Linked DNA regions of Notamacropus eugenii. The protein of the gene in region 1 interacts with the protein of each later gene in a pairwise test. Links are inferred from orthologs where the notes say so. Each region holds a gene or a part of one and is shown on either strand. Other genes may lie near its edges. The genes, in order: HOXA1, FBLN1, TRIM42 and EGFL7.

The links.
Region 2: the proteins of HOXA1 (region 1) and FBLN1 interact in binary tests that used the Homo sapiens proteins (3 or more experiments, as listed by UniProt). The link is inferred for Notamacropus eugenii from reciprocal best matches to the Homo sapiens genes HOXA1 and FBLN1.
Region 3: the proteins of HOXA1 (region 1) and TRIM42 interact in binary tests that used the Homo sapiens proteins (3 or more experiments, as listed by UniProt). The two-hybrid records come from large-scale screens. The link is inferred for Notamacropus eugenii from reciprocal best matches to the Homo sapiens genes HOXA1 and TRIM42.
Region 4: the proteins of HOXA1 (region 1) and EGFL7 interact in binary tests that used the Homo sapiens proteins (3 or more experiments, as listed by UniProt). The link is inferred for Notamacropus eugenii from reciprocal best matches to the Homo sapiens genes HOXA1 and EGFL7.

Annotation. Positions count from the first base shown.
Region 1 is NC_092874.1:18,131,232-18,138,516, reverse strand, and holds HOXA1 (homeobox protein Hox-A1), read left to right. Parts: upstream 1-4,068; 5' UTR 4,069-4,212; coding exon 4,213-4,867; intron 4,868-5,365; coding exon 5,366-5,724; 3' UTR 5,725-6,933; downstream 6,934-7,285. UniProt on the Homo sapiens protein: Sequence-specific transcription factor. Regulates multiple developmental processes including brainstem, inner and outer ear, abducens nerve and cardiovascular development and morphogenesis as well as cognition and behavior.
Region 2 is NC_092874.1:310,068,072-310,075,319, forward strand, and holds the start of FBLN1 (fibulin-1), read right to left. Parts: upstream 3,119-7,248; 5' UTR 2,723-3,118; coding exon 2,656-2,722; intron 1-2,655. UniProt on the Homo sapiens protein: Incorporated into fibronectin-containing matrix fibers. May play a role in cell adhesion and migration along protein fibers within the extracellular matrix (ECM).
Region 3 is NC_092876.1:325,567,362-325,575,461, forward strand, and holds the start of TRIM42 (tripartite motif-containing protein 42), read right to left. Parts: upstream 3,037-8,100; 5' UTR 2,907-3,036; coding exon of another isoform or gene 2,777-2,906; coding exon 2,587-2,776; intron 1-2,586.
Region 4 is NC_092872.1:489,305,973-489,313,954, forward strand, and holds the start of EGFL7 (epidermal growth factor-like protein 7), read right to left. Parts: upstream 3,180-7,982; 5' UTR 3,062-3,179; intron 1-3,061. UniProt on the Homo sapiens protein: Regulates vascular tubulogenesis in vivo. Inhibits platelet-derived growth factor (PDGF)-BB-induced smooth muscle cell migration and promotes endothelial cell adhesion to the extracellular matrix and angiogenesis.

The DNA.
Region 1 (7,285 bases):
TGGGCTCTGTGGGTGGGTGAATGCATGCCCCCCCTCCACCTCCTCAGTCCTCCCTCCGTAAAGAACTATCCAGCATCTGGGAGAAGTTGTAGGGTTCTTTTTACCGGAGCCCAGTGGAGAGAAGCTGAACTGAAAGTTTGCTGGGTTGGGCTGGGCTGGGCTGGGCTGGGCTGTGTGGGCCAGAGCTGGGAATAGGGCTGGATAGAATTCTTCTACTGCTCATAAATCAAACTCTTTCTATGAATGAGAATGTCATCAAAGAGATCAATTGCAGGAACACATGCACAAATACAAGTCCTCTTACGTATTTGCCCGAGCTGGGGATCCCCGTCTGAAAGCATTAAGTTAGGAGGCGTTTAAGCTATAAGTCATTTTTATTGCTCTTTTAAAACAACAGCTTGGCTAAGCTGCCGATGCCACGAAAAGCTCAGAGCCTGGGCTTCCCCCCCTCCTCCCTCCTTTTCTTTCTAGGAGAAGGGCTTTGGGCGGAGGGAAGAAGCGCTTTAAATCTAGCCATTCTCTTTTTATTTTAATGACGGTCTCTCCACCCTTCCCCTGCCTGCCTCTAAGCTTTCCATTTTTGACAAAGCATGGGGTTCTTTGCTGGGTGCTCTCATTACCAACTCCCCAGGGCTCAAAGAGGGCTCTAAAACTCGTTTGTCGATTTCGAGATCAATTTCCTCCTGGATGAGGGAAGGAGGTTTTGCCTCTTGGTCGTCTTGTGTTTCTGGGGCCAGTCTTTTGTGTGATGGCCGGTGGGAAGAAAGCTCAAGAAAGGCGAAATTCTCCGAAGGAAGTGGAGGCGCTGATCTGGACTATGACGAGCCTGTGGAATCTGGGCCCAGGCAGCAGAGAGGCTAAGCCGGGTGGAGAAACGCCAGTGGGTACAGTATCTCGATTTCTGTTGATGGCTTTGCCTGTGTGAATATGTCTGTGAGTATTTACACACACCAGGGAAACTCCTTGCTGGGGCTTCCACTTAGTGGGAAAGAGGAGGGAGAGAGGGAAAAGAGGACAGGAGAGAAGAGAGGCAGGAAGAGAAGAAGAAAGTGGGAGGGAGGATAAAAAAGAAAGGCGGGAGAAAGAGAAGAGGAAGAGAAAGGTAGAGAGGGGAGGAAAAAGGGAAAGAAAAAGAAGGAGCAAGTAGGGAGGAACTGGAGGAAAGAGAGGGAGAGAAGGAAAGAGAAGAGATGGAAGTGGGAGGGATGATAAGAAGGAGAGGGGGGAAATAGAGGGAGGAGGAAAGAGTGTCAGAGGACTGAGGAAAAGGAAAGGGGGAGAGAGAGAAAGAAAAAGAGAGAGGGAGGGAGGAAACGGAGGAAAGAGGAAAAGAGCCTGTGACAGGGAGGGTGAGAAAACAAGAGGGCAAAGGAAGGAGGGAGAAAGAGAGAGAGGAGGGGGATGGGGGGGTAGAAGAAAGCAGACAAGATGGAGAGGCAATAGAACACATTCCATCATTCCCTATTATGTTTCATTGTGACTGAGCAGGCTACAGACTTCTAGACTAAGTGGGATCTTAACAAAAGACATGAGCTTTTTAAAAACAAAGATATAGAAATGGAGAAAAGAGGGGGACTCTGTGGAAGCTGTGCTCCTGGAAAGGAAAACGCTTAGCTGTGATGACTGTGCAGCTCCCCACCCCCACTCCAAGCCCTGCCCCCAGAATCTCTGAGAAGGAGCCTCAGAACTGGATGCTGGCCTGGGAAGAGGAGAAAGGGACGATTCTCCTCAGTCAAGGTCCAGACTCTTTCTCCTCAGAGGGTCCAACCTTCCTGGTGGCATGGTGCTGATCGTATTGGAAGAGGCTCTACTGGCTCACTTGGGGCCTGCTTCAGTTCCTCGTCATGACTATGGGTCAAAGGGCAAAAGAGCAAATGAAAATAGAAGGGCAAAAATATTGGGGAGAAACACCTTCTACTTGGGAGAGGGGAGAGGAGAAATGGAGGAGGGATGGGCTGAGGGGCCCCTGAAGCTGGTGAAGCTCCTCCAATTTTGTTCTCCCCTCTCTGAGGAGGAGGCTACTGGGGGAGAGGGCTCGACATGGAGGAGAAAAGGAGTTTATATTTTATTTTAGGAGTTTATATTTTAGGAAACAAAACAGAAAAGGAATGTGGTAACACGGAAATTTCAAATAGGCCCCCTAAAAATCTAGTTCTTGAAATTGGAGGGGGTGGGAGGAAACAAGTAACCAATCAAAAGCAGCCTCCAGATCTGTGGCCCTAGCGATCACCTCCTCTGCAGGGATTGGCTCTAAGCACACCGCAGATATTCCTGGCTACATAAGGAGCACCCCCACAGAACCGAGAGATTCCTTCTCTGGCCCTCTCCGCCTTGCTGTTTGTCCCAACTCTTTTCTGTCTCAGTCTGTCTCTGACCCGTTCTACTTGGCCTTTTCTCTGCCCGCTCAGGGTTGACACGGAGCCCAGTGCCCCACAGAAATTAAAGAACCCATTAGTAGCTGTGAGAGAACGAAGGTGACTGAAAACAGGACCCTTAGCCTGGGAAGAGATTTCTGCTAGTAGCAACGCAAACCTCTAGGGAAAACTAGCCAGTCAGTGCAGTCTAGAAACCAAGGAGGCTGGGCGGGTCTGGCTGTGGGGAGGGAGGGGGTGTAGCAGGGAGGGGAAAGCTCACTTTCCATCATCAACCATCTGTCGCCCCTCCCACTTGGCAGCCCCCACCTCCAACTCCAGACACAGCGGATGGTGACCCTAGGAGTGTTGGGGTTCGATTGGGGAGGGGGGGAAGGAGGGGAATCGTGAGGTGATCTAGCCCCAAGGTAGAAGAATTTGATTATAGTTAATTCTACAGTTAATTCTTAGCCCGCTCCTCGTCTTTTATGTCTAGGCACTCGGTCCGGGTTGGGGTTAGACAGAGGCTTCGGATGTCCCGGCCTGCGTGGGTTGACCCTCCAGCGCTGGGGGAGCCTACCAGATGGACAGCAGCTCCGGGACCCGCTCCAGAGCTGGGCTACATTCGCCAGCGTCTGCCCCTTCTCTCTCCCCGCCCTTCCCCTTCCCCCTCTCCCCCCCATCCCTCCGCGGAGTTAGGGAGTTACTCGCCGGTCACCTCGGACTCCCCAGGCAGAGTCGATTATAGGGAAGGAGGAGAAGCTGGGGGAGGGGGATTGCTGCTGCCAAGGCGGCCTTTCCCGTCAATCCAGGGTCCCCCAGCTCTCCCGCCCCCGGGAATCAGATTACAACAACGTCTCATTGCCATGCTAATAGCTGCGGGACTGGGGCGGATTGGGGAGGGGGAAGCTCCTTGGCTTTGGAGACCTTCCGTGGAGATGAGAAGTTCTCCTCCTCCTCCTTCTCCTCCTCCCCCTCTCCTCCTTCGTCCTCCTCCTCCCTTCTCCCCCTCCTTTTTCTCCCTCCTCCCTCCCCCTACTCTTTTTCTCTCCTCTGCTCTTAGCCTCCTCCCACACGGGCCTTGTAGGTTTTCTCGCCAAACCGTCCCCTCCCAGTCGCACTGTTCCCAAAGGAAGCCGTGGTCATGACAATAACCAGAGAGCTGGGCAGCTAGGGGCAGCGCCTAGCACACTCACCCGGAGGCTGGGGCGCGGGTGCAGGGCGATCTTCCTTTTCTTTCTCCTTGGCTCACTCTGGTACTGGGGTTGGCCGGGAGGGTGAGGGGCTCTCCCACTCACCTGCAATTGGGCGGCCGGCTCAGTGCAGACCGAGCCCCAGCCCTGCGATCCTGACCAGAGCTGGGACTCTCCCCGCCAAGCGCCGCATCTTCGTCCTCCTCGCTGGGCCCTGGGGATCTGCCCCACTCCCCCATTCCTCCAGCGACTCCTAAGGCAGGGCGGAGCGGGAGCCAACAGCGGCGGTGGTGGCAACGGGGAGGGCTGCCCCTGGGGCTCCGGCTCCTCCTGGGCCCGGCCCCAGAGCGGGGCTCCCATCGTTGCCACTGCCGCCGCCGCCGCTGCAGCGGCCGGGGGGGCGACTGCGCGTCACCTTGATGGAGGAGCGTCCGGGATTTAAATGCCACTGAAACGGTGATCCATCACCAGCAAGAACAGGCAAACTTTCACAGGAGGCTCCGCCATTGGCTGCCGCGGTCACGTGCGCCCCGTCCCTCTCTCCCCCTCCCCCGCCCCCTGCACACTGTACATTCATATCATTTTTCTCTTTGGCCCCATGGAGGAAGTGAGAAAGTTGGCACGGTCACCCAGGGCTCGGAAGGAGCCGGTCACTGTGTGACAGGCAGATGGACAATGCGAGAATGAGCGCCTCCTTCCTGGAGCACCCTATCCTCAACGCAGGAGACTCGGGGACCTGCTCCGCCCGAGCCTACCACCCCGATCATGGGATTACAACTTTCCAGTCGTGCGCGGTCAGTGCCAACAGCTGCGGGAGCGACGAGCGCTTCCTGGTGGGCAGGGGGGTGCAGATGAGTCCTCCCCACCACCCTCACGCCCATCACCACTATCCCCAGCCGGCCGCCTACCAGCACCTCAACAACCTGGGTATGTCTTATTCCCACTCCAGCTGTGGCCCGGGGTTCGGATCGCAGAACTTCGGAGCAGGTTACAGCCCCTACTCATTAAATCAGGAAGCAGACGTAAGCGGCGGGTACCCCTCGTGTGCTCCCGCTGTTTACTCTGGAACTCTCTCATCTTCCATGGTCCAGCATCACCACCACCACCACCAGGGTTATGCTGGGGGCACGGTGGGCTCGCCTCAGTACATTCACCACTCATATGGACAAGAAGCGCAGAATCTGACTCTGGCAAATTATAATAACTCCTTGTCCCCTCTCCATGCCAGCCACCAAGAAACCTGTCGCTCTCCTTCAGCAGAGGCATCACCTCCAACACAGACCTTTGACTGGATGAAAGTCAAAAGGAATCCCCCCAAAACAGGTCAGTTCTCTTGCCCAGCACCTGACCACTGCTACTGCTGCCATGAGGGTTTGGGGGTGGAGTGGTGGGTGGGTGTAGGTTTACTTAATATGGTGGGGAGAAGCCAACTCAAGGTTATATATAGGTTTTGTAGGGGGTGGATAGGGTGGAGAACTCAGGTGTACTTAGGTAAATGATGCCCAGGAATAATAGGCAGGAGGCCAGTCCCTCTCTCTGGCTTCCTGAAAGTAGGAGCTGGGGGTGGAGGGGTGGACTCCCATTAATCACGATTTCTGTTCACACCAATAGTTGACTTCAAGTTAATACTTTGTACCTCATCAGTCACCTTCCTAGGAGTCCTATGTGGTCAGGTTATCCTTTGCCCCTTTACCTATGATCCCAAAGCTTGACGGGTATAAATAAATCACTCATCCACACCATTTAAAAACTAAAAACAATCAGATGACCAAACTACTTCTTTTCTCTCCACCTTCCCCTCTCCCCACCCTTGCCCTCCAGGGAAAGCTGGTGAATATGGGTATATTGGCCAACCCAACACAGTGCGCACCAATTTTACCACCAAGCAGCTGACTGAGCTGGAAAAGGAATTTCATTTCAACAAGTACCTCACGAGGGCCAGAAGGGTGGAGATCGCAGCCTCACTGCAACTCAACGAGACCCAGGTGAAAATCTGGTTTCAGAACCGCCGCATGAAGCAAAAGAAGAGAGAAAAGGAGGGCCTGTTGCCCATTTCGCCCACCACTCCATCACGGAGTGACGACAAGGCCGAGGAATCCTCAGACAAATCTACCTCTTCGCCCTGCGTCCCCTCTTCCCCAGCCTCCTCTACCTCAGACACTCTGACTACCTCCAACTGAGTTTGCCCCTGGCCCCTTTTTTCCTCCCCCCACTCCCCACCCCATGATACTTTAGTGCAGGACTTCTAACCCGAAGCACATTCTTAGCTTATCTCTCCCTTCCTTTACTATGTCTTTCTTTTTGATGTTATCTCCATGTCTTCTTCGGGCTAGGTCACTGTGTTTCAAGAGAATTCAGGCCCAGAGACTGAGAGGCTGGGTGGGAGTAACTTCACAAATGGTGGGGTACCACCATCTGGTCTTTGATGACCTCTGAGGGCCTATGATTGATTCAGACATCCTTTGGAAAAACTCCATCTCCCCACCCCACCCCCTCCCATGCTTGAAGGGTGGAGATATCTGATATCTAACTTCAAATTATTTTTCTCCCCCCGTCCTCCTTCTCCTCATCTCCCGGACACTAAAGGCAGGAAAAAAGAGAGTCTAAAGACCTCAAGAAGAGGATGCACTATGAAAGTGTTTACACATTCATCTTTTTAATTTAATGCATTCAGTTTCTTGTGTGAGAGTTTGCTGGTTGTAAATACTTTAAGAGATTTATCTTTATACAGATTTTCTAGAAATGATGTTTAGCTTAGGAGATTAAAACAGGGTGGATAGACTCCCAAAGCTGGGTGTAATTTTATACAGGACTAAAAGTGACAAAATAAAGAAATCAGACTGGACTGGTGAAGCCCAATCAGATTACTTCACAGGGAAGTAGCCCTGTGCCTTTGGAGAAGATGAGTAGGACTGGGCTGCACTGGGTTATTGTTGTTGTTGTGTTTTGGGGTATTTTTTGTTGTTTTTGTAAACCTCCTGGGTGTGCAGTGTCTCTCCCCCAGTCCTCCCACCTCTTCTGGCCTCCTCCTGCCCCACTCAAAAATTATGCTGAATTGTTTCTGAACCCTAGGGCATATTATCTCCAAACATCTTATTTCCACAGTAATCCTTCCCTCGATTTGATGTATCTCCAACCCAATCGTAAATGTGATGAATGGCGAAATGAATGTATATTTCATGTGATTCGTGAATAGGCTTTTTGCATGGTGCACAATGGTTTGAGCTCCCAAAGATACTACACTGAGTTCTATCAGTTGTCCTTTGTGGTCCCACAATGCTTCTGAGTTTCTGTACAATCATGAAAAGTTCTGAGATTCCAAGAGTGATGGAATTCAGAGCAGAATTTACGGGTCCTAAAATATCTGTAATAAATATATTCACATTTCAGGTATGCTTGGGCTTCCTTGTATTTCCTCCAGGCTGCTACAATTGATTCCACACTGGGTTGATCATTTCATGTGCGAAGGGGAAGGGAAAAGGGTGTCTCTACTTTCATAAAAGTTGCCCTTAATTGGATAGAGTCAATTTTTTCCTCCTCATCCTGCAGCTAAAACCCACCCTTCCTGGACCATTTTCTCAGCCTCACATTTGACACCTACATTCTGCTTCTGGGTGGTTTTTTTGTTTTTGTTTTTTTAACATTTTTTTTAAAGGGGAAGGTTTTTTTTAAAATTGAAATCATAGGGAAATTTATGAAGTGAATCTATTTTTGCAACAAATACAGGAACTTCCTGGGTCA
Region 2 (7,248 bases), about 290 Mb from region 1:
CCAAAGTAGGTGCTTAAATACAGCATATCATCCACTGATATGCCAAGAACTGGCGCTGAGGTCAGGGGACAGCAATGAGCTGCCCAAGGTTACACAGGCAGTGGTGAGTATGAGAGATGACTTTAGAACCCAGGTTCCAGGACACCACCACCAGTGTCATCTTCCCACCACTCCACCAGGGAGGCAGTACATGGTATGGATGAGGAGGATGGTATTATGCCCCTTCCCCAGCATCACAAAGTCAATAAAGCAGTAGAATCAGGCTCCTGCTTTGTTGCTGCTAGCCAAGGGCTCTTTTCAGGATGCCAGGGGAGTCAGTGGGTCCAGACACCTCCAGGAAAGGATTCCCTATTCAGAGGCTTCTTGAATTCTTTTGAATTGGGGTATTAATACAGGGTCATTTGATGCTCTAAGCAGAATAGAGGAGGGAGGACCCTGGATTCAAATCATCCCATCTTATTGTCTGGCTCTATCATTGTCAGTCATTGACTGCTAGGCTCTGGGATCCCATCCTCCATCATTCCTCTCTCCATGGAGATGGGTAGGGCCCTACTGGGATTCCCTTGGTCTCCATGAGGCACTAGAGCCAAAGTAACCCATCCCTTGGCACCAGCTCCTTGCTCCCCCCCAACCATGGGCCAGGCCTGAAGCTATCCTGGCCTGTCCAGACCTGCCAGAAGCTCCTCAACTCCCCAGTGAGGCTCTGGGGGCTTGGGGAGGGGAAACTTTGACTGTCCCTGTCAGGGTTATGTAAATAGCTAACCAAAATCGATTCCTCTTTGGGACTCTTTGGGGTCCCTGCTGCCCACTCATTCAGACTTGCCCAATAGCTTTTCTGGTAGTTTGGGGGCCCACAAAGAGAAACACCCCCACCCCAAAGCCATAAATGGAAGAGCCTGGGGGTGGAAGAGAAAGGCATGTCCTTGGGGTGAGCTCCCAGTCAGCCTGGAGGTCAGGCCTGTGACTAGTGAGAAGAAAGCCTGGGGTGGAGGAAGGGGACAGAACCTTCTCCTGTCCCATTTCTCCAGCTGCCAGGCCCAGCAGCCCATGCCAGAGGGTAGAAGCTACTGTCCACTGTCAGGAGCCAGCAAGGCCACCTCAGCTGTCCAGTCCATATAGCTCAGTTTTTTTAAAATAGGTGAGGAAGCTGAAAGGGACATTAAAGAACAGGGAATCTCATTTTACAGATGAGGAAACTGAGGCCAGAAAGGGGAAGGGACAAGACTGTACAGGGAGAACCATGGCAATTCTGAAATGGAAAGCATCTCAATGCTCATCTAATCTCACTCCTGTCTGAACAAGAACCTTCTAGTGGGTAACTGATCATCCATCTCTGCCTGAAGACCTTCAGGAAGGCAAAGAATGGAGGCTGGGACCAGGCCTGGTTCTGGAGCTGGCCAAATTATCTGAGGGAGTGCCCATGTCTGGGCACTGCCCTGGCTTCCAAAGCTCCCCGAACTGGACTGGATGTCTCTTGGACAGCCAGAGTCTCTCCTAAATCCTTCCTTTTTTCACAAGCTTTCTCCCAACACCAAGTGCTGAAGGCACTACTGCTGAAGGCACTATTCTACAGATAAGGAAAATGAGACTCTGGACAAGGAAATCCCACCCATGCCCAATGGCCACAGAATCAGGGGAGGAAGCCAGAGCTCCAAGTCCAGAGCAGCCCCCTCCCTACTCCCTGAGACCTGGACTCCACCAATGAGGAAAGAGATTCTGCCAGGATGCCCATGGGGAGGAGAAAGCAAACATGTGCTCTGTCCCACAGACTCTTGAGCACTGCCCCTCTTCTCCCCACTCCCCACCCCCTCACCAGGAATGGTTCTGGTCTCTGGCTTTAATTGTTTCAATAACAACGCTAGGAAGGGCTTGTGTAGATTAGAGCTGGGGACACTGCAGGCAGGACCCCTGGAAAAGGCTGCCTCCTCCCTGATATGGTTTTACAGCCCAGAAAAGGGAGGGTGAGCTAGGGGAGAAGGGGCCCCAACAAAGTCTCTTCTGACCAAGGGATAGACACCCTCAGCGAATGCTGAGAACCCAGCGTTCTCCACTCCCAAGTCTTTTTTCACTCTGCCACAGTAACCTAGGAATTAGCATGTGTTGGCAAGGAGGTGGGAGAAAAGAATTTGGAAGATGGGGTGGGGGTGGGCTGAAAACACCTAGTCCACCTCCCTTTTTGACAGATGGGGAAACCGAGGCCGGGAACAGGGAAGCAATATGCCCGAGGTCACACAGGTGAGAAGAACATCTGCCCTCTCAAAGAAAGCTCCGAGAAGAGTGGGGAGAGTGAGTTGGTGGGGGGGAGAGGGGATGGCGAGCAATGCGGGAGGGTGTGGGCAGGGAGGCAGAGACGAGGCGGAAGCCCTTGGGCACCTGGGGTGCCGGGGCTGGCGATGCCGTTGGGTTGTGTCAGTGGCCAGGACGGGAGGCCAGAACACGACAGGACAGACGGGTATCACAAGTTCCCTTCCTCCGGAGTGGCAGAGAGAAAGGAGGCGCGGGGCGGGGGGGAACCCACAGAAGGCCCTTCTGTGAGAGAGAGAAGGGGGACGTTAAGGGGCTGAGGTCTCCGGCACCACCTCGCGCCCGAGCCCCTCTCCCCACGACTGCGCTCTGGGGGCGGTCCCCAGCCCCCCAGCTGGCCCCTCTCCTTACCTCCGGCGGCCAGCAGCGTGACGAGGGCCAGCAGCCCCAGAGGGCGCGGCGGCCAGGCCGGCTCCATGGGGCGCGGGACTCTGGGAAGGGGGTGAGCCCCCTGAGCGCACAAAGGGGCCAGCGACTTCTCCTTCTTCTCCGGCCGGCGGCCCGGCTCCCGCTCCTCCCTTCTGGACTTGGGGGGCACTTGTGTGAGGGAGTGTGAGGACGCGGGGTGCCCAGCGGTCCCCGGGCCGCCCGCTTGCTTCTGTCCTCGGGAGCGACTCGCCCTGCTCCTTTTAATTATCCCGCCTGGAAGCGCTCTGGCCCAAGCCCAGGCTAGGCTAGGGGGAGCGGGAGATGGGGCGGGGGACTGGGGCGGGGGGCGGGCGGGCGTGGGGCGGGCCGATCGCTGGAGTGATGGCAGCAGGCCGCTCCGGGCTGGATTTCTGGCTGCCTGGCTCTTTCCGTCTCCCGGGTTCGGGGTTCTTTAAAAACAAAAACGACTCTTTCCCCCTCCCTCTGCTCTGTCTGTCCAGCTCTCTGCTCCTGTCTTGTCTCTCTCTGCGTGTCTCAGTCTGTCTCCCCTTTTCTCTCCTCTCATGTTCCTCTGCCCTCGCTTCTTTCCAAAAGTGGAGAGGGGAAGGGGCCCTCGGTTGGAGTTTCTCCAAAGCCACCCCACTCTACTGGACTCCTGCCAGGCCTAAGACTGAAGGTCACTCAGTGCCCCTTCAGAATACCGGAACCAGAGAACAGGCTCTGAGACATGTCCCTCCAGGACCCACAGTCCCCTTTGCCCCATCCATCACAACAAGTGATGGGGAGTCCATGCTTCCCGGAGGCCCCTGTCCTGAACACTCCCATCCCCCACCTCAGAAGGAGCACTTTGCCCCCTCCAGGGAAAGCCACTTATCATGGGCATTGTTCTGTGTTCTACTTATCTGTATTTTCGTCTTATCAGTCTCCAGACTATGGGCACCAGGAGAGCAGCCACCTCCTTTTCTGCAACTCTCTCTCTCCCTGTCCCTGTCCCTCTCCCTCTCCCTCTTTCTCTTCCTCCCTCTCTCTGTCTTTCTCTCTCTCTCTCTTCCCCCGCCCCTCAACTGTTACAAATATTTACTGGATATCAGGATTTACTGAGCCACAGAATATCAGAGTTGGCTGAAAACCCCAGTGATGGGCTGCTCCAAGCTGTCTGTCTCCCCCTCCCTCCCCTCCCTCCCCTCCCTCCCTCTTCTCCCTGCCCCTCTCTCTCCCCTCCCTGAAGGTGGGATTATTGACTCTCAACCCTCAGCCTCTGACCTCTGAACCCAGAGGTTTCTCTTTCTTTTACGTTTGCTTAACAATCAGTAGACACCCTAACAATTGCAGCACCAGAAGGGGAGGGAAAAAGCAAATAGGCAAAGAGGAAACCTAATTAGTACTTTGGGGGAGGGGGAGATGGAATAATTTTCTTATCCTAATTCTTATTCTAATCCAAGGAAGTCAACTAAAATGTCTTCACAACACTTCATTGCAGGGCTCTCCAGGTAACTGCCTCCCAGATATCCAGAATTAGATGTCCAGTAGACATCTGAAACTCCATACATTTAACAGTAAACTAATTATCTTTCCTCCTAAACCTCCTCTGCTCCTACCTTCCATATGACTATAGAGGGCACCACCTTCTGCCCAGTCCCTTAGGCTCCCCATCTAGGAGTCAGCCTGGACTCCTTGATCTTTCTCATCCACCCCCCAACCCATATCTAATATGTTGCTGAGGCTTTTCAGCATCTCTCTGGTACGTCCCCTTCTCTCCTCTGACACAGTACAGACTCTGGTCACAAACAAAACATTCCCTCTCTCGGCTCTGGGCCTTTTCTTGGGATGCTCTTCATTCTGCACTCTGCTTACTGATCTCCCTGGCTTCCATTCAGTCCTACAGCCCCCTTGGACAGGAAGCTTTCCTCCAAACACTTTGACTTCCCATGCTATCCCTCTGTTACTTTCTATACCATCTAGAGCTTGCTTTGTGTAGTTTTGTATGCATCTTGCTGCCCCTGTGAGACTGTAAGATCCTTGAGGACAGGGACTGTCTTCTACCTCTTTTTGTATTCCCAGTATTTAGCATAAGGCCTGGCACAGTCAGGTTTTTTGTTGTTGTTCACTCATTTTTTCAGTCATGGTGGACTCTTGGTAACCCCATTTGGGGTTTTCTCAGCAGATACTGCAGTGGTTTGCCCTTTCCTTCTCCAACTCATTTTACAGATGAGGAAATGGAGGCAAACAGGGTGAAATGACTTGCCCAGGGTCACACAACTAGTAAGTGTCTGGGGCCAGATTTGAACTCAGGAAGACTCATGTTCCTGACTCCAGGCCCATCACTCTACCCACTGAGCCTGCTAGCGATCCATCACTCGATAGGTCTGGATCTGGGCCCAGCACCTGATTAGCTGTTTTTACAAATATCAACAACAATATTGTAAAGTAAGTATTATTGTCCCCATTTTATAGCTAAGGAAACTTAGACAGAAATTAAGTGGCCTGCCCAGGGTCCTAGAGCTAGTGTCTAAAGCTACATGTGAGCTCAGGTCTTCCTGACTCCAGGCTCCCACACTGTGAACACTGTGTGATTGAGCAGCCTCCAGAGCAAATCACTTTCATTTCCTGAGCCTCAGTTTCCACCTGTATAAAAGGAGAATGTGGACCAGATAGCCTCTAATGTTAGGGACCAGCCTTAAATATAGGATTCTATGCACTCAGTCCATTAATAGGCCTTTATTAAGCACCTACTATGTGTCAAGTGATATTGGGTTACCCACCTCTAGAGTTTGCCACCTGGTAGAGATTACATCCTTGCCATGTTCTAGGCTCCACTTATGCTGACTGGGTCTTCCTATGGGCAGAGCCAGGCCCAACTCAGGTCCAAAGGGAGGGGCTGGTCCCATCAGAAAGAGAACCCATGTTCTAACCCTATGAAGAGTTCCCAAGAACTGGGCAGAAAACCAATTAAAACCAGGTGTGGCCCCAGTGAGTTCTCTGCTGGGAGGCAGACCCCAAAGTCCCAGAGTTTAAAAGTTGGATAAACTGAATGGTGGAGACATTGGTCATTGGGATGCAATGAGGAGAGAGATGGAGGGTGAGGGGAAGAGAAGGGGCAGAAAGTCTCACCCAAAGTAAAGGAGAGGGGAAATGTTCGGTGAGGGGTTCTGGACCAGTCAAGGGTTGAGCTACAGCCAGAAAGATGGACCAAGAGGAACGGAGAGGGTCACCCTGGGCTGTCACTGCCTCTCATCCTAGCTTCCTAGCCAAGCTCAGGAGAATGTGTTCTCTGTTTCAAGGCCTCTGGGAAGGAGGGCTCAGGGACTTTGCTGAGTTGGTCAGCTTGCTCATGCACCTCCAGCAGAGCTAGAAAATTCTCCACAGCAGTCTGATCTAAGTCCCTGCCTGAGACCAGCCCCTAACCTTCCCACTGACCTGGGTAATGGGGAACAGCTGGCCCTCATATTTGCCTAGCAATTGTTCACAGGCCTGTCACAGAGCACATCTCACACACACACACACACACACACACACACACACACACACATACACACACAATATCTGAAGTTGGCTTTGGGCCCTCTCTGCTTCCCTTCCTTGGGGATCCATCCAGTGGATATTTGAGACTCCCTATCAGGAGCAGGAGAACCCACTTGGGGAAGGTGTTCCCACTCATCTCCCACCTCCTGAGTCTCCTTCCAGGAGGGATTTTCCTAGAGCTGAGCTCTCCACAAATCCTTCTCACAAAAGGCTAGGGGTCAGTGTTCAAGCTCTTCCCCCTTGGCCTGCAGAAACCCATTCCCTCCCCAGATTCTCCCCAGTCTAACTCCTGCCTACATAACTCAACTGAAAGAATGCTTTGGGAAATCACCAATGCCTGCTGTGCCAAATGGCATGGCCTGTGCCTGAGTCGCCTCCTTCTCCACCTGTTTGCAGTGTGGAATGCTTTGGATGCTTCTGGCTGTCTCTGCCTCAATGGAACTTCTTCCCCACCCTCCTTTCCTAAGGATCCTTGGTCCAGATCTCCAACCCTTCTGCATCTTGTATCTTCTGGCTTAGAGAATATCCCTCAGAGCTCACCTGTCTAATGCCCCTCACGTCATTTGGGGGATCAGGCTCAGACCCTGAGATTTCAGGAGATCCCTGTTGGTGGAACTGCACTGATGCAAGTCAGCCCTCCTCTTCCCCTTCTTGTGTCAGAGGCCTCCTGGATGCTGGGGGCTGGCAACTGGCTCAGGGTCACCTGGTCAGGACATCACCGGATGGCCCATGGGATCAGCAACTAAAGCACTTGGTCCTTGCTGACCAACTTCTCTTCTTTCTTCCATTCCCTAAATCTTCTCACCGTGTGTCACCTCTGGTGGATCTAACAAGCCCTTGCTATGGACAGTTTCCACAGCTGTATCTCTAGCCCCAGCCTTCTCCCAAACAACACTCCAATTCTGCAATCACTGTGCCCCAAACATTCCCTTCTGCCTGTCTTTCCTATGAGGCTCATGTCACCTCCAGTCTCCCAGATGCTCACGCATCTCACTTGCCTCTCACATCTAATCACTTATAAAGTTCTGCAAACACATCCTTCATAACAGGTCT
Region 3 (8,100 bases), on another chromosome or scaffold:
TCTCCTCTCATTCCATTGTGTGTTAAGTTATTTTTAGTTGTGTCTGACACTTCATGGCCCCATTTGGGGGTTTTCTTGGCAAAGATACTGGAGTAGTTTGCCATTTCCTTCTCCAGTTCATTTTACAGATGAACTGGGACAAACAGAAATGATTAAGTGACTTGCCCAAGGTCACATAGCTACTAAGTGTCTGAGGTCAGATTTGAACTTAGGAAGATGAGTCTTCCTGACTTGAGTCCTGGCACTCTATCATACCACCTAGCTTGCCCCATTCAGTTAAGCTGGTTTATTGTTCATCTGCATGGAGTGCCTTCATGAGATATAGGTACTGATATACTAATCCAATAGGGTTGCCCATCCAACTACATGCCTTAATTAGGACATTTGTTCTTCTTTCTCCTGTGTGTGTTAATTTCTTTTAAAAATGTCCATGAAGTCTCACTGAGAAGGCCCTGTGATATTTTTGGCACAGGGTCATCTGCAAAGATGAATGTTTGGAGAGCCTTAAAAATTCATTGAGTACTTAATAGTCCAAAATGTTGGACTAGGTGGAAAAGACCAAGCAGCTTGCAATTTAGAGATTTATGCACTTAACACAATTAGACACATATCCCATAATGTTCCCCAGTGAAAGTTGCTCCTCAGTATTCTTAATATATTAAAAATAAAATCCTACTCTAATGTAAGAAACTCTGCTGTTAGGTTTTAGGATCAATCCTTTAAGACACAACTCCCCATACACACCCTGTGTATAGTAGCCCAACAGTGTCTTTAACGGTCATTCAGAAAATAGTTTCCAGGTGGGCCCAAGAGATTGCATCAATGAATCAGTCAGAACGGGGGTAGTCTTCTGTGCTCTTTCTTCCTTTCCTGTGAAAACCTGTCCTTTTCAAGTTTCTAGCTAGGATGAGGAAAAAAGGGTAGATATACAGAATTACTGGTTTCTCCTCATTGAGATGAATGGTGTTGACTCCATTTCCTAGTATTGTGGATGGAGGAATGAAAAGGTATAAAGTTGTGTGAGGTACAGAGACTTGAAAAGTGAACATGACAGTGACAGGTATAAAGGTGAAGGATCACCTCCATGTAGGTGAGATATCACCTAGGTGAGAATCACACAAGGGGTGGGGAAGAGGGAAGTGGTGGGGAAGTTGAGTCAGTAATACAGTTGTGAAGATGAACATAATAGCACCTTAGGATTTATCTCGTTCAAACTTAGTTTTAAAGATGAAGGAACTGGAACACAGAGAGGTATCTTGATCGAGGTCAGTAAGTGTCGTAAATTGTAACTCAAACCCAGATCATCTGTCCAGGGCTTTTTATCCTACATCTAGAGTTTTATGTCTCTAAGAACTTTTTTAATCTTTTGTAATTTAAATTTTGGTCAACCAGGAATCTATCTCTAAAACATTTTAACATTGTTCCTGTGGCACTAACTACTCCCAGCAATGTTGTTTAGCCTAATGTTTTTTTTTAGACATCACAAAGTAGGATAGATTAAATTTTCAGATTAAAAAATTTTCAAATTAATTTTAAATAAAAATAATTTAAAACCACTATTTAATTGAGTACTTCTGGCATACTAGACATTATCTAGGAATGTGCTGTAAGGAATACCAAGAAATCAAAGGCATCATGCTTGCTGTCCAGTAGCCTGTATTCTAGCTGGAGAGACAAAATATAAATATACAAAAAAAAACCCCCAAATAACATTACAAGATGAAAGCATGCATTACTGATAACCACTGGTAGGATTAGACAAAATGCCAAAGTTTTTGAAATCAGAGATCCTGAGTTCAAGTCTTGACTAGCTGACTACTGTGTTACCTTGGCAAGCATAGTAACTTCTCTGGGTCTGAATTTCCTCATCTGTAAGATGAGATGAAATAACTTGACCTTTAAGGTCCCTTTCACCTCTAAGTTTGATGATCCTATGAAATGAGCAGTATACTAGAGTGGTTCAACATTTTCAAAGGTAGATTTAGAGTCAGAGGGCCTGGGTTTGATTGTCTACTCTACTGCTTACTATTTACTACTTTTCATGACCTTGGACAAACCACTTTAATTTTCCTGGGCATCAGTTTCCCGTATGTAAAATGAAAGGCTTGGAACTAGGTAACCTTAAAAGTTTTTTCTAACTTGAAAGACTTGAGTATCTCCTAAAGGAGAGAACAGTGTAGGCTTAGACAGTTAAATCTTTCTGGGCCTCAATTTCCCCATATGTAAAATGAGAAGTTTGGACTAGGTAACCTTTAAGGTCTTTGTTAACTTAAAGTCTTAGTATCTCCTGAAGGAGAGAACAGTGTAGACTTGGATAGTCTAGGGAGACTGCCAAGAGGGGAAGGAATCAGAACTGGGCCTTGAAGGATGAGGATAGACCTGGAAAAGTCATGCACTAGCCAGTGAGTGATACAGAAAGGAAGGGTCATGATTCCCAAGAGGCTGGGGGGAAGGAAGTCATGATGGTCTCTGCTTTGTTAGGGAAGTTGTTTATTAAACAAATCCTGGCAGAATTGACTAAAATGAAGTTGGCCTCAGCAGGTTATGATGGGCATCAGTCTGGGCATGGGTTCCTAGAGTACTTACGGGGAGTCAGTAGGGAAAGGTCCTCTGTAGCAGCAGCGGGCCTCATAGCAGTGACAGGTAGATGCGCCTGGTGGACAAATACAGCAGCACTTGAAGATGGGGTCATTGGCGCAGGAGCAGCAGCACCAGTGGCAGTTGGGAGCATCTGAACAGGTACAGTGACAGAACTGGCATACCCCATCATCTTCATATGGGCAGGGGCAACAGGTGCAGTTCCTTTCTGTAGTGAGAAGAAACTTCATGCATAGGCACATGCGTGACTTGGGTAAGATATGCTCCCATGGACAGCATGGAGAAAAGAGGCACATTGATTCATCCATGACTCCTATAAAATCCCTGCCTTCTACATGTGGTTCATAATGTTACCCTCTTCCAGAGTCCCAAGGTCTATTTGATAGCACACTCTATCTCTAAAAAGACCAGCTGCTTGGTTTCCTCAAGTCCATGACCTGTTTGTTACAACTAGGATGCCAAGGGACAGATGGGCATTTTCATAGGTAAGACTGAGTTCATTGTTTATGTCATAATCCCTCTTTCCCCTCTTTAATTCACCACACTGTGGGGCTGCAGGTGCCTGTAGGCACATTCTCCATGGACAATCAGCCAGTCTGTGGGATTGAAGTGAATAAAATGACTGGTGATCTTTTGCTGTCACCATGTAGTATGTAAGCTGAGAAGGCTAGGCTTTGGATTGCTTAATTCCTTGTCAGACTTAGGCCTGTGCTTCAGGTAAACCATCTGGGGATGCCATACAGGGTTTCCTGGGCTATGACTTAGTGGACTGAAGGCCTAGGCTTCCCCATAACTGTGCTCTCAGCAGAAAAGAGAGTTGAATTTAGAATTTGAGGTCCTAGGTTCAAATCCTGGCTCCTTGCAACCAGCAAGTCATTTCAGTTTCCTGGGCTTCAGTTTTCTCTTCTATAAAATGAAGAGGCTGGACTAGATTAGGGGTTCTTAACCCTTTTTGTTTCATGGATTCCTTTGGCAATCTGGTGAAGCCTATCTCATAATTATGTTTTTAAATTCATGAAAAAATGCATAGGATTATAAAAGAAAACAACTTATATTGAGATAGTTGTCAAAATATTAAAAGTTCCAAGTTCATGAACCCCTCAAATCTATCTAGGGACACTTGGAGCAGTTGAGGGACCCTAGGTTAAGAATCTCTTTACTAGAATGGCATCTCTGAATCTAAGACCATATGAATTGAAAACATAAGGAATCTCTAATTGTTCTTTTTCTATAGAAATACAAGTTAAACTATTGAGCCAAAACTTCCACCAGAGAGGCTGAGGTATGGGTAACTGGGAAACCCCAATATCAGCAACATGAGCCTAGAGGGAATGGCCTGGTAGGTACTTCAAGCCCTTTCAAAAAGATCTAACAGAGTTACTAACAAGGCTTTGCAAAAAACAACTACAACTATAAACCCAAGAATGATTTTTTTTTTTTTTAGCTGTAAGATAGACGGGACCACAGAATCAATCGTACCATCACATTGTATCTGTTGATCCGGGCAAAAATGAAAGCTTTGCAAGTGTTTCCACTTTGGGTGGAACTGACATTGATAAAAATGTTGGTGTCGTTCCATGTAGAACTTCTGATCCTGATGAACATCAGTCAATTGATGAGTTTTTGTCTATAATGTATGAACATCACAACTGCTAAGCAAAAGGTGCATTTTTCAGATTTTCCTCTTCTTTTAAGTAATAATGGAGTAAAACAAACTCTAAATAAAGCTTTTCAAGATCTGGGCTAATATTTTTGTTTCTTCTGCTTTAAACGATGCCTGATTTCATTAGTCAATAATGATAATCACCCCTCTTCCCCATTCCCTTCGCCCATGAAAACCAAGTTGGCGTGCACTTCTCAAGTATCATCACTATGTGTTACAATCATTTGCACATTCTTCATTCATATTCCCCTACTAAACTCCATGGGGCAAAAATTTTATTTCATTTCCATATTGCATCAACCCCATTACAATTGTCTGAAAATGATTAATACATATTTGTTGAAATTGAATTTTTCTCTTTTGTATAAGGGATACCTAAATCACTTGTATGATGCATAGTCAAATCCTTTTCAGAATAAGAGGCTCATAGAAGCTTAAAACTGGAAAGATTCACAGATCTACCTATCCAAGGCAGATCTTTGTCAGGGTAATTCTTCTATCTGCATATTTGCTTCTGCAAGTAGAGATGATATTGAGATATGAATGCAACAAAGAAAAATCTAGGATATGAGAAGTATGGAGAATCAAGAAGTCTCTCAGGAAAGGGTCCCACATGTACAAAAATATTTATAGCAGCACTCTTTGTAGTTGCCAAAAACTGGAAATCAAGGGGATGCCCATCAGTTGGGGAATGGCTGAATAAGTTGTGGTGTATGAATGTAATGGAGTAATTTTGTGCCATAAGAAATGAGGAACAAGAAGACTCCAGAGAGGCCTGGAAAGACTTATATGATCTGATGCTGAGTGAAAGGAGCAGAACCAGGAGAAATTTGTGCACAGCAACGACCACAGCGTGCGAGAGTTTTTTCTGGTAGACTTGGAACTTCATAATAACTCAAGAACTTAAAAAAAAAATTCCCAATGATTTTCTAAGGCAAAACGCCTTCCACACTCAGAGAAAGAACTATGGAATTCATTTGTAGAATGTAGCAGATCTTGTTTGTATATATATGTGTGTGCGTGTGTGTATTATGTTTTGATTTCTTATATGGTTTCTTCCATTTATTTTAGTTCATCTATATAGCATTACTGTAGTGAAAACATATTCAATAGGAAAGTATACGTACATCATATATAGAATTGTATGGCATCTTGGGGAGGGAGGGGAGTCGTGGAGGGTAGGCGGGGGGTAAAAATATAAGCTTTTTGGTAGTGATTGTGGAACATTAAAAATAAATAAACTTTAAAAAAAGATAAAAATATGGTAAAATACCAAAAAAAAAAAAAAAAAGTCAACTGGGCCAAGACTTTAATGCAAGGGATCTGCCTCCTCAATTCATAGAATCCCAGAATTAGGAGGGATGTGCAAGGTTATCTAACCTAACTTCCTATTAAAAGATGTACTATAGAATTTTAGGAACTAGAGTTTCAAGGGATCTTGATGATCAACTGGTTCAATTGTCTTTTTACAGCTGAAGAAATGAGGTCCTCAAAGGTGAGCTTATTTGTCCAAGGCTATCCAATAGCCAATCAAAAATGAGATCCCAGATCTACAGATTTCCTATCTCAGTTCTTTATTCACTGCACTCTATAGGTCAAATTAAGATAGCCCTTTTTGGAAGTGGTTTCCTCAGAGGTCCCTAATTTGGCATCTGCATTTCGCATATCCCATTCTGAGTCAAGTGCTCTCCACCCGGGAGAGCCCCACACATTCCGGGCAGTGTAAACAAAGGGAAGAAATGAGCTTCGTTTTGTTTTCCAGACATCTGAAGGGTCCCTTATTAGCACATTCCAGGTCTAGGTTGTAAGTTGTACAGCATTTGAAAGCCTTTAAAACGCCCTGATTGCATATTCACCTGAGGTCAGCCAAGTAGTCCCTTCTGTGAGAGATTCTCAGATACATGACCCAATTCGAATATATTTAAGATTAGCCCAGGTTAATGCGCTTTCCAAGAATTTTTAAAAGTACTGAACCTTGGCACAGTTTGCCACAAAGTTTCTTTCTGTGTGCATCCTGGGCAATCTCTAGTAATCCTGAGGAACATCAGGTCACTGGACTCAGATGGCTTTGGAGGAGAAGTGAGGTTGGTGACCTGCACAGCCCTCCCTCACTCAAAACAAATGAACGCTAGCTGGGCACCTCACCTCCTTCTCTCCTGTCTGCCTCTCCCTCCCCTAACCTCCTCTCCAAACTAAGGTAAATTTGGATGGCCAAAAGCTGCCCAGTTGACTTGGGTTTTATTGCTTCCTTCCCTCCCTTCCCCTCCTTTCCCTTCCCTTCCCCTCCCCTCCCCTCCCCTCCCCTCCCCGCCCCTCCCCTCCTCTTCCTTCCCCTCCCCTCCCCTCCCCTCCTCTTCCTTCCCCTCCCCTCCCCTCCCCTCCCCTCCTCTTCCTTCCCCTCCCCTCTCCTCCTCTCCTTTCCCCCTCCTCTGCCCTTTCCCCTCCCCTCCCCCTTCCCTTCTCTTCTCTTCCCTTCCCTTCCCTTCCTCTGTCTTCTCCCAAAACCTTAAACCTACTACACCCTGAAACTGGGACTCCAAAGAGCCCTTGCCAAGGGCTTCTGGAGCCCCCCCAGCTTCACAGTCATTATCAGTAGTAACTGTTGCTGTTTCCCACCCAACCTGATGTCTTTATTTTTCTTGACCTCATTAAAAGGGCCATGCCCTGGCTACTTCTTAAACAGGCCTATTCAATGAATGGGGATTGCCTCACCCTAAGTGAGTGCCTGCAAAGACCTTGGCCTAAAACGGCCCAAGGTCTCCCAGTGCATCCTGGGCCATCTCCAGTAATCCTGAAGAACATCAGGTCATTGGACTGACATGGCTGTGGAAAAGAAGTGGGGCTGGTGACCTGCACAGCCCTCCCTCACTCAAAACAAAGTCAAGTGCAAGTCATGTCATCATTTTCTGATGGTATGGTCTTCTTAGCAATGAAGGACTAACACGATCCTGTGAGTAGATGCAGCTGGCTGAATGCTAGCTGGGTACCTCACCTCCTTCTCTCCTGTCTGCCTCTCTCTCCCCTAACCTCCTCTCCAAACTAAGGTAAATTTGGATGGCCAAAAGCTGCCCAGTTGAACTGAGTTTTACTGTCTCCTTCTCTCCCTTCCCTTCCCTTCCTTTCCCTTCCCTTCCCTTCCCTTCCCTTCCCTTCCCTTCCCTTCCCTTCCCTTCCCTCCACTTCCCTCCACTTTCCTCCCCTCCCTTCCCCTGCCCTCCCCTCATAAACAAACATAAATTTGGAAGCCAGCACCAAGTAGCCAAATTGCATACAATACCTACCCCTTCACTCAGAAGGTTACTCCTTCTGAGAAAGAAGATATGATTCCTAATCTCGCTGGGAAGTCAAGATACAAATATGAACAAATAAACAACAAGGCTACAGAGACTTCAGAAACCATTTATCAATTCTATACTTAAATAAGAATACCATCTGCAATATATCCAACAAGAAGTCATTTTTGAAGACCTCAAGTGAGGAGTAAACCATTACCTCCTCAAAAGAGAAAATTCTCTCCTCCTCCTTCATATTATTTCTCACCTCCCCCTTGTCCCTAGGAATTATTCTTGGCTTCTCTAAGTTACTAGGACTACTTTATGTCAGGGTATTTGGGTAGTTTCTCTAGCAAAGCTCTTGATAGCATGGCATAGATTCTGTGTGTGTGTTTGTTTTCGTTACCAAAGAAGACCATGCCATCAAAGAAATGATGACATGACTTGCACTTGACTTTGTTTTGAGTGAGGTAGGGCTGTGCAAGGTCACCAGCCTCACTTCTCCTCCAGAGTCATCTGAATCCAGTGACCAGATATTCATCAGGATGACTGGAGATGGCCCAGGAT
Region 4 (7,982 bases), on another chromosome or scaffold:
TGATTTATTCCCTTCTCAAATGGGAATGACTCAGACAAAGAGACACTAAGCCTATAGACTGCTCGTAAAAGCCCCTCAGGGAAGGCAATAAGAGAAATAGGTGTTTCTGAGCCAAAAGACAGGGAGATATCATATCCTGTAGCCTGGTACAAATTCTTTAGCTTTATTACCCCAGTGGATAAACCTCTTTACACTCAAGCCAGTCCCCCAGGTAATCTAGTCTGTAAACTCCATTGAATCTAAGTACTTCACTGGAGAAATAGGTCCTGGAGAAGCGAGCTGATTTGTCCAAGGTCAGTTGGTTAGGATAAGGGACATAGAATTGTAGATTTAGAGCTGCAGTTCTAGTTCAACCCTCTCTCTCATTTTGCAGATGAGGAAGCTGAATCCAAGAGAGGTTACATGATTTGTGGAAGGCCACACAGTTATCAAGTAGCAGAACCAGGATTTGAACCAGGTCCTTTGACCACAAATCCAGCCCTCATTCCACTCCTCCAGTCCCCCAGTTCAGAGCTTTTTTCCCTGGACTACCCACATTCATTTAACTCACTCTTGAGACCCTCTACTACAATCTTCCTCTTTCCTGTCTCGTCATAGCATGGTAAAGGTGAGCCTGGATTCTCCAAGATTATAGCAGGAAAGCCCAACTCCTGGTAGGTTCTAACAAGTTGAAAAGGTTTCAAGTGTGGTCTCTGTAACAGATATTAGGTTCTTGGGCCAGAGGGCTGGAGAACTTTCCCTATTACCTCTCTGAGCCACGTGGTGATAAATGTTATGATCACAGCAACTCCTAAAGACAGTTGGGAAGGTTCTTGATATATACTGGTAGAGGGAGGAGTACTCACATGGACAGTCATGGGTCCCTAAAATATTCAACTTCGGTACAATTGAGTCCTGACTACGTACAAAAGCTCAAGCCTGTTGCTACACAGAGTAGGAGGGGCAGGAAATGTTACCCGCTTTGTTCTAGGAAAGTCAGGCAGGCTTCACTCCAGGGGCCCCCTTCCTCTAATTCTGCCCTCCTTTGAGACTGCCCAGCCCCAACCCTCTTGACCCTAAATTCTTTCTAGGGCTTGTTCCACCCCAGAGGAGGTGGGATGTTCTGATCTGATTTTAAGGAGTCCCGTTTAGAGCCAGCCCTTGCAAACTTGCAAGCTCAGTTCTTTGTGGTCAACACTCTGGCCCTTCCAGCTGAGGTGCCCTGTGGGTATAGGGTGTTCCTGGTCTGGCTGGTGTGGCATTATGAGCCCCCTCCCCAAACTCTAGCTTTCTCCAATGGGAACCAACTTCTTTCTTATTCTATCCATTCAAGGTCATGTTTTCTGACATAAATTCAGATCTAATCAGTTACTAGTGTCTTCCCTCCTCTCAAGTCCTCCAATTACTTTATATATGTGAGTACTGGGGTCTCCCATGATGGGATATAAGCTTCTTGATGGCAAGTACTATTTCATTTTTGCCTTTGTATCCCTAGCAACTTGCACAGTCTAATAGGTATTTCATAAATGCTTGTTGACTGACTGATGGGTTGAATCACGTTGTGTTCATGTGAGAGAACTAGAGACCTAATTCTGGGGCCCCATCTATGGATTTTGCCAGGGTCCTTCTATAGACCTTAAACCTGCCTCTATCCTGTAGCCTTATTCCTACTGTTCTCCCATGCCTAATATTTTCCTATCTCTTCTGATTCGTTGACTTGACTCAAGTCCTTTCCGATGCTTTGGGTGCTCAATGCCTGCATCCCTCCCACCCCTCCATCTATTGATATCTGGTGTATCCCCACCCCTAATTCCCTCATCCATCAGTGAATCTTTTTGTGAACTTTATTTTTTTGTCTTGGCTTGTGATTTTATTGGTGTGAGACAGAGATGTCAAGCACCAGCCTGCAGCGCTCTTGAGTGTGAGCCAAACTGAATTAAAATATAATTGGGAAATACTTTTAAAAATAAATAAAATGCAACAGAATGTAAATGATCCTAATGTGTGGTTTTCTAAGTCAACTCTCAGCCTGCTGGGATCCTTATATATGGTTTAGTGACCCTTGTTTCTGTTTGAGCTTGATACCACTCATATAGGGAACTCTCAGGGAAGAAATTCCATCCACTAATGCAGACACAGACCTCTTCTGAACTTTATCATCTTAGTAGCAACTTGTAGGCTAAGTGACTTGCCTGTGATCCAATAGCCTATATGTATCAGAAGCAAGAATTAAACTCAGACCTTCTAACTCCAACGATAGCCCTCTATTCACTTTCCTGTGCTGGCTCACATGAACCCCTGCAGCAATGGATTATATTTATTCATGTCCATGTATATTATCCCTCTTAATAGGCTATAAGCTTTCTGAAGGTAGTATCTAATTTATTTGTTTCCATTTTGGGGCAAAGCACTGTGCTGGGCACACAGACAATGTTTATTAGAATGAACGAACATTAGATCTTTGAATGTTAGAGTTAGAAAGAACCTCGGAGGGTGGCTAGTTCACTCTTGTTATTTACTAGAACCTTAATACAACTCAAATGGGAGTAGATTTCTTTTTTTACTTTTTAGAAAGTACTTCCTCACCCAGGGTAGAAATCTTGTCTACAGTAGCCCCCGAAGTCACCTTTAATAAGGTTGCTTTAAAATTTGCCATCCAAATCCCCTTCCAATCTTAATCCAGATGTTCATATTCTCAGTAAAATGTGAAACACTTTCATTTTTCTGAACTCAGTCTAGCTTCCCAGACAATAACATAAATTCTTTCTAGGTTCACTCCTTAAGAGAAAATAGCTGGCACTATGGAGTGGTAGATGAACCTGGAGTTTTAGGAGAAGACTCAATATGGCAAAGTGAAAAGAGCAGTGGACTGGGAGCCAGGAGACCTGTTAGAGTTCTGGTTTTCCCAGAATAACTTCCCAGGACAACCTTGGGCAGGACATTCCTTCTTCAGGCCTCAGTTTAAAGTGTGGGAGCTAGTCTAGGTTAACTCACTTATCCAGCGCTAAGATTTTATGGTTCTAAGTTTCTCCTAAAGATGACTTGGCTCCAGCCCTTCCCCTCAAGAAAATAAGTGAGTTACCTTTTTCTAGTTCTGCAGGCCAGATGCACGGCAAATTGGCTGAGAAATGCAGAGCCCCTGTCCTTGCCTGAGATGTCTTGCTGCCATGTTTCCCCCAGCTCCAGCTCAGCAGGAAAGGTCAGAACCCTTGACTAAGGCTGTACTGCACATCCCAAACCACCATGTGACATATGGGCACTGGTGACATCTCCATTTGAGCCAGAAGAGGTGGGAAGAGAAGAATGAACCTGTCGAGAAGAGGAGAAAAAATGCCATTTCCTGTTTTTCACACCATTGGAATCAGTTTGGTTGAGGCAGCAGCTGGCCGAGGCAGGCAGGATAGGGAATGGTGTTTTAAATAACAGGGGCAGGGTCCAGATTGCCAAAGAGGCTGTTGAGTATTTGTAGTGGAGGAGGATTGTGACTCAAAGGGTGGATTGACTACTGTCTCCTCATTTGGGAATGTAGGGGTATGGACAGGAAGAGAAAAATACCCATCATCTATGCTTGTCTCTATTTTACAGGATAACTGTAGTGAAGTCATTTTAAAGAGATGAGAGGATCAAGTAGGAAGGAGGAAGTTACATTCTTTAGGGTTGATGGACAATTTCTGGAAAATCCACAGGCTGGTCCAGACTTGGGGTCCTTCAAGAATTTCCTATGTGACCCTCTTCAAGAGACCCCCAAATTCTTTCCTCAGATATGGCTTGCCCAGGTCAGTGGGTCACAATGATTTCAGTGTTGTAACAATCTTGGAAAATATTGCCCTCAAAATAGGGAAATTCACAACTAAGCCCAGCTCCACTGCTCTCTCAGGTGAACCCTCTACTCTAGCCAAATTGGTCTTGTCAGTACTGTTCAGCTTTCCTTTCTCTATATCTTTCCTTGACCCAGTGCCTTATTTGGAATGCTCTCTGTCTTCTTTCTAATTATTTTATTTCTACTTATCCTTCAAGGCCCAACTTGAGTCCCAAAACTCTTTAGAGTTTTCTTTGACCTGTCCAGCTGACACATCTCTCCTTCCCTTCAATTCCTTATAAGCATTTACCATTTGTACCATTTCTTGGGCACTTCTCACAAACTCCCTAATTACCCCCTACCCTTACTTTTTAACATTAGCCTTGTCTTCCCAGCAAGCCTATAAGTTCCTGAAGGACAGGGACTATATCTGGAGGACAAATACTATATCTGGAGGAGAGTGAGATAAAGTTGGAGGGGTAGGGATATGACCAGGCTATGGTGAGCCTTGACTACAAGGCTGAGGAGTATGAATTTCTTCCTGGGGGAATGAAGATCCATGGAAAGTTTTGGGAAAGAGAAAGAATCATGGTGATAAGGAAACAAGGTAGGGCTTCTCTGAATTACTGCAGGGGTCATCAGTGCTGAGGAAGATTGATCTAGGCATCCTAAGCTTGGCAAGACCCTGATGGCCCAGCTAATTGTCTTGGGCAACAGAGGGATCCACATGGACTCACCCAGATAACCTGTACAAATTCTGCTTCTTGGGTCTGAGTTAAACTGAGTTAAAACCAGTTTTAATCTTCCCCTTATCTGGATAGCTTTTTATAGCTTAGTGGAAAGAGTGCTAGATATGAGGTTAGAAGAGTTAGGTCCAAATCTCAGTACTGCCATTTCTTGTGTGACATGAGATATGTCACTTAATCTTTTCTGGGCCTCAGTTTCCCCTTCACTAATATGAAGGGGTTGAACTAAATAGTCACTTGAGATTCCTTTCCAGTTCTAAATCTGTAACTTATCTATGACTCTCAGCCTTCTTCGTGATGTGTTGATTCTTTGAGTGTCTTCATCTCCTTTTCTCTTTAAAACAAAACCTATAAGACGGGGGGACCAGACTTAGAAATGAAAGCCCTAAAACTGCTAAAAATTAGAGCCTTTTATCAGAGTCAATGGAGTGGGAGAGACAAAGCTCATATGGCAGTACAAGGTTCTCTCGTTAGGGAACTGTCTAAATTATGCTACAGCCATTTTTATTAGTGATAAGAACAGATGGGCTCCTTGGCTCTGATCTTGCAAATGCTAGGGATTCCAAGAGGGAAGGGGGGGGGGGCAGTTTGAAAATGTTGATAATATAGGGCATTCCAAACTTACTGCTGGGAAACTCTAGGGTGAAAGCTGCTGTTGTTAGTCAGTAGTCTTATATCTTCATTTTCTTCCCTTACTCTCTGACAATCTTCTCACTCACAACCTTGGTGTCCTGGTGCCTTTTCAGAAGCACTATCTCAGGAAGGTCCTAGCTATATTTCTCTTCACTCCCTACTCTCCAGTCACCTCCTCCTTGCTTTGGTCCTACCTTCCCACGCCTTTTCTTCCCTTTCCTTTCTTTGTAAGTCTAGAATCATGCATGATGATGAAATCAACTTTGTCAAGATCCATGGATGGGTAGTACCAATCTACTCTGCTACAGCTCCACTTACTATGCATCCCTGTAACTTTCAGAATGAAGTTGCCCGACCCTAGTCACTCTTCTCCTTTGGATGCTGTCTCCCTCATTAGAATGGCAATTCCTTAAGGACAGGGACTGACTGCACTTGTTTCTATATTTATATCCCCATAAAAAGTGCTTTTTCATTCATTCATCTACCTCTCTCTAGTTTTGTTTTGGGGATTAAGTTGCAATGACAAAACCATCATCTCAACTTCTTAGAATTCCCAGCTTTCTTCAAGGATCAGCTTATGAACCTTTTCCTTGGAAACCTGCTGATCCCTCAGGTTTTTAGTGCTCTCTCCTTTCTCAAATAATCAGACTTAGCTGGCTCTAATGTTATCACTGGTGACTGACTTTCTTGGCCCACTATCTCAGGAGGACCACAGTCATGCTTTGCTTCACTCTCTATTCCCCAGGCATCTTCTGTATAGCTCTGCCAACCACTTTGACAAAGTATGGACAATCTACTACCTTTCCCCCTTCCAGCTCCTGGAACCATGACCAAGTCAACTCTGCCGTTGTCCCTAGATGGAGTGCTTCAATCTACTCCCCACTCACCATTCCTGTAACTTTTGGGATCAAGGTACCCTTCCTGGACCATCTGACTTGAACCTATTAGAATACTAGTTGAAGGCAAGAACTGTCTTTGCTTTTAACATTTGTAACCCTAGTGCTTGGCACATCATAAGCACTTGATAAATGCTTTTTCAGTCAGTCGGCAGTATTTATTAAGTGTACTAAACACCGTGCTTAGTGCTAGAGATAAAAACAACCCTTGCTTTCAAGAAGCTAACATTTTAATGGAGAGATAATAAATGATTGACATATGTAAGGTATTTACAGAGTAGATGGAAGGTAACCTCAGAAGGAAGGGGGTTAAAGGGTGGAACTGGGAAGATGAGATTTGTGCTGAGTTCTAAATTCATTCATCTGTTTTCATGTTATATTTCCCCAGTATAATATAAGCTTCATGAGAATGTATTCTGTTTTCCATTCTGTCTTCGTATCCTCTGAATATATAATGTAACATCTTAAGCTAAATGTTGAATTGCATTGAGCTGGACTTACTTTTACCATTGCTGATAAGAATGACATGCTCTTCGTTCTGAGTGTCCTGGAGAGAAGATAGATTACAGTAATCAGGCCCAGGAAGAGGTGAATAAAATGAACCCTTGGGCCCTATGTTTAGTGAAGGGAGTCATTATTTGCATATCTTCAGCCATTCAAGGAGATTCTCATATATTCCACAGGGTGAGTTCTTTAACTTGTGAGGAGTTGGGTCTCATTTCCACTGACAACAATTGTTACAAGTCAAGGGGAGGCTAGGATCATGAAAGCAAAAAAACCAAAACCCCCTCCCCCAAAAAAGAAATTTCCATAATTCCAATCCATTCAATTCAATAAATAGTCACTGAATACTTACAACGAGCCCAGCGCTGAATTCTTTAATGCTTACAGGAAGCAAAGATGTATATATAAGATGCATCCCTGAGGCCAGAGTTGGAGTATCTAAATTGAGAATTCTTGGGTTCTATGAACTTGTTTTTAAAAAAAAAATTGATAATCATAGGTTAATATGATTGGTTTCCTTTGTAATCCTCTGTATTTTATTTCATGCATTTAAGACTTTTTTTTAGATTGGGTCTCCATCTCTCACCCAGCATGGAAATGCAACAGCCATTCCCAATCACTGTTGATTAGCATGGAACCTTTGACTTGCTCATTTTCTGACCTGGACTGATTCTTCCTTTCCTAGACACCTTGGTGGCCCTCTGCTCTCAGAGGCCCACCATATTTGTTCTGGACTTAGTACAGATAACCAACAAATTTTAGCCACACTAAAGCTCAGAATTCCCAAACTCAAGTAATCTATAGGCCTTGGTATCCCTAGTATCAAGAATTATAGGTGTGTGTCACCACACTCATCATATAGACATTATTCTAAGAAAGGGTTCATAGCCTTCACCAGAATGTCGAATGGGTTCATGACATAGAATAAAGCTAAGAACTCCTGGTCTAGACTTATAAGTATGAATGTTAATTAACACTGGCACCATCTGAGGAAAACTTGGTTGGTTGGCCCAGGCAGCTATAACTCAAATCACTACTATTCTTCTGGAATTGTGAGGTGAGGACCTATAGGGGTGGAGAAGCATATCAGAGAGGTTAGTCTAACAAAGGTGAGCCTTAAAGAACATGGAGAATGTTCCAACAACACAAAGAGGAACTAAATTATGTGGGATAGATAAAAGTTCTGGACGTTCTAAGGGGAAGAAAGAGAGGTCACTGTTGCTTGAAATTGTCAGTTAAGACGAGTTTTCCGAAAATCTTGAACTTGAGCTGGGCATTTAAGAATGGGTGGGATTCATCTAGGGGGTTGCTTTAGTTAGGGGCAAGTAACAAAGGTGCTAGCATTGTTTTGGCCCCAAAGAGATCCAGCCTTATCAACCTTAAACTTTCTCAGGCATAGTGCCAGGAAACCTGCTCAAGGTAACC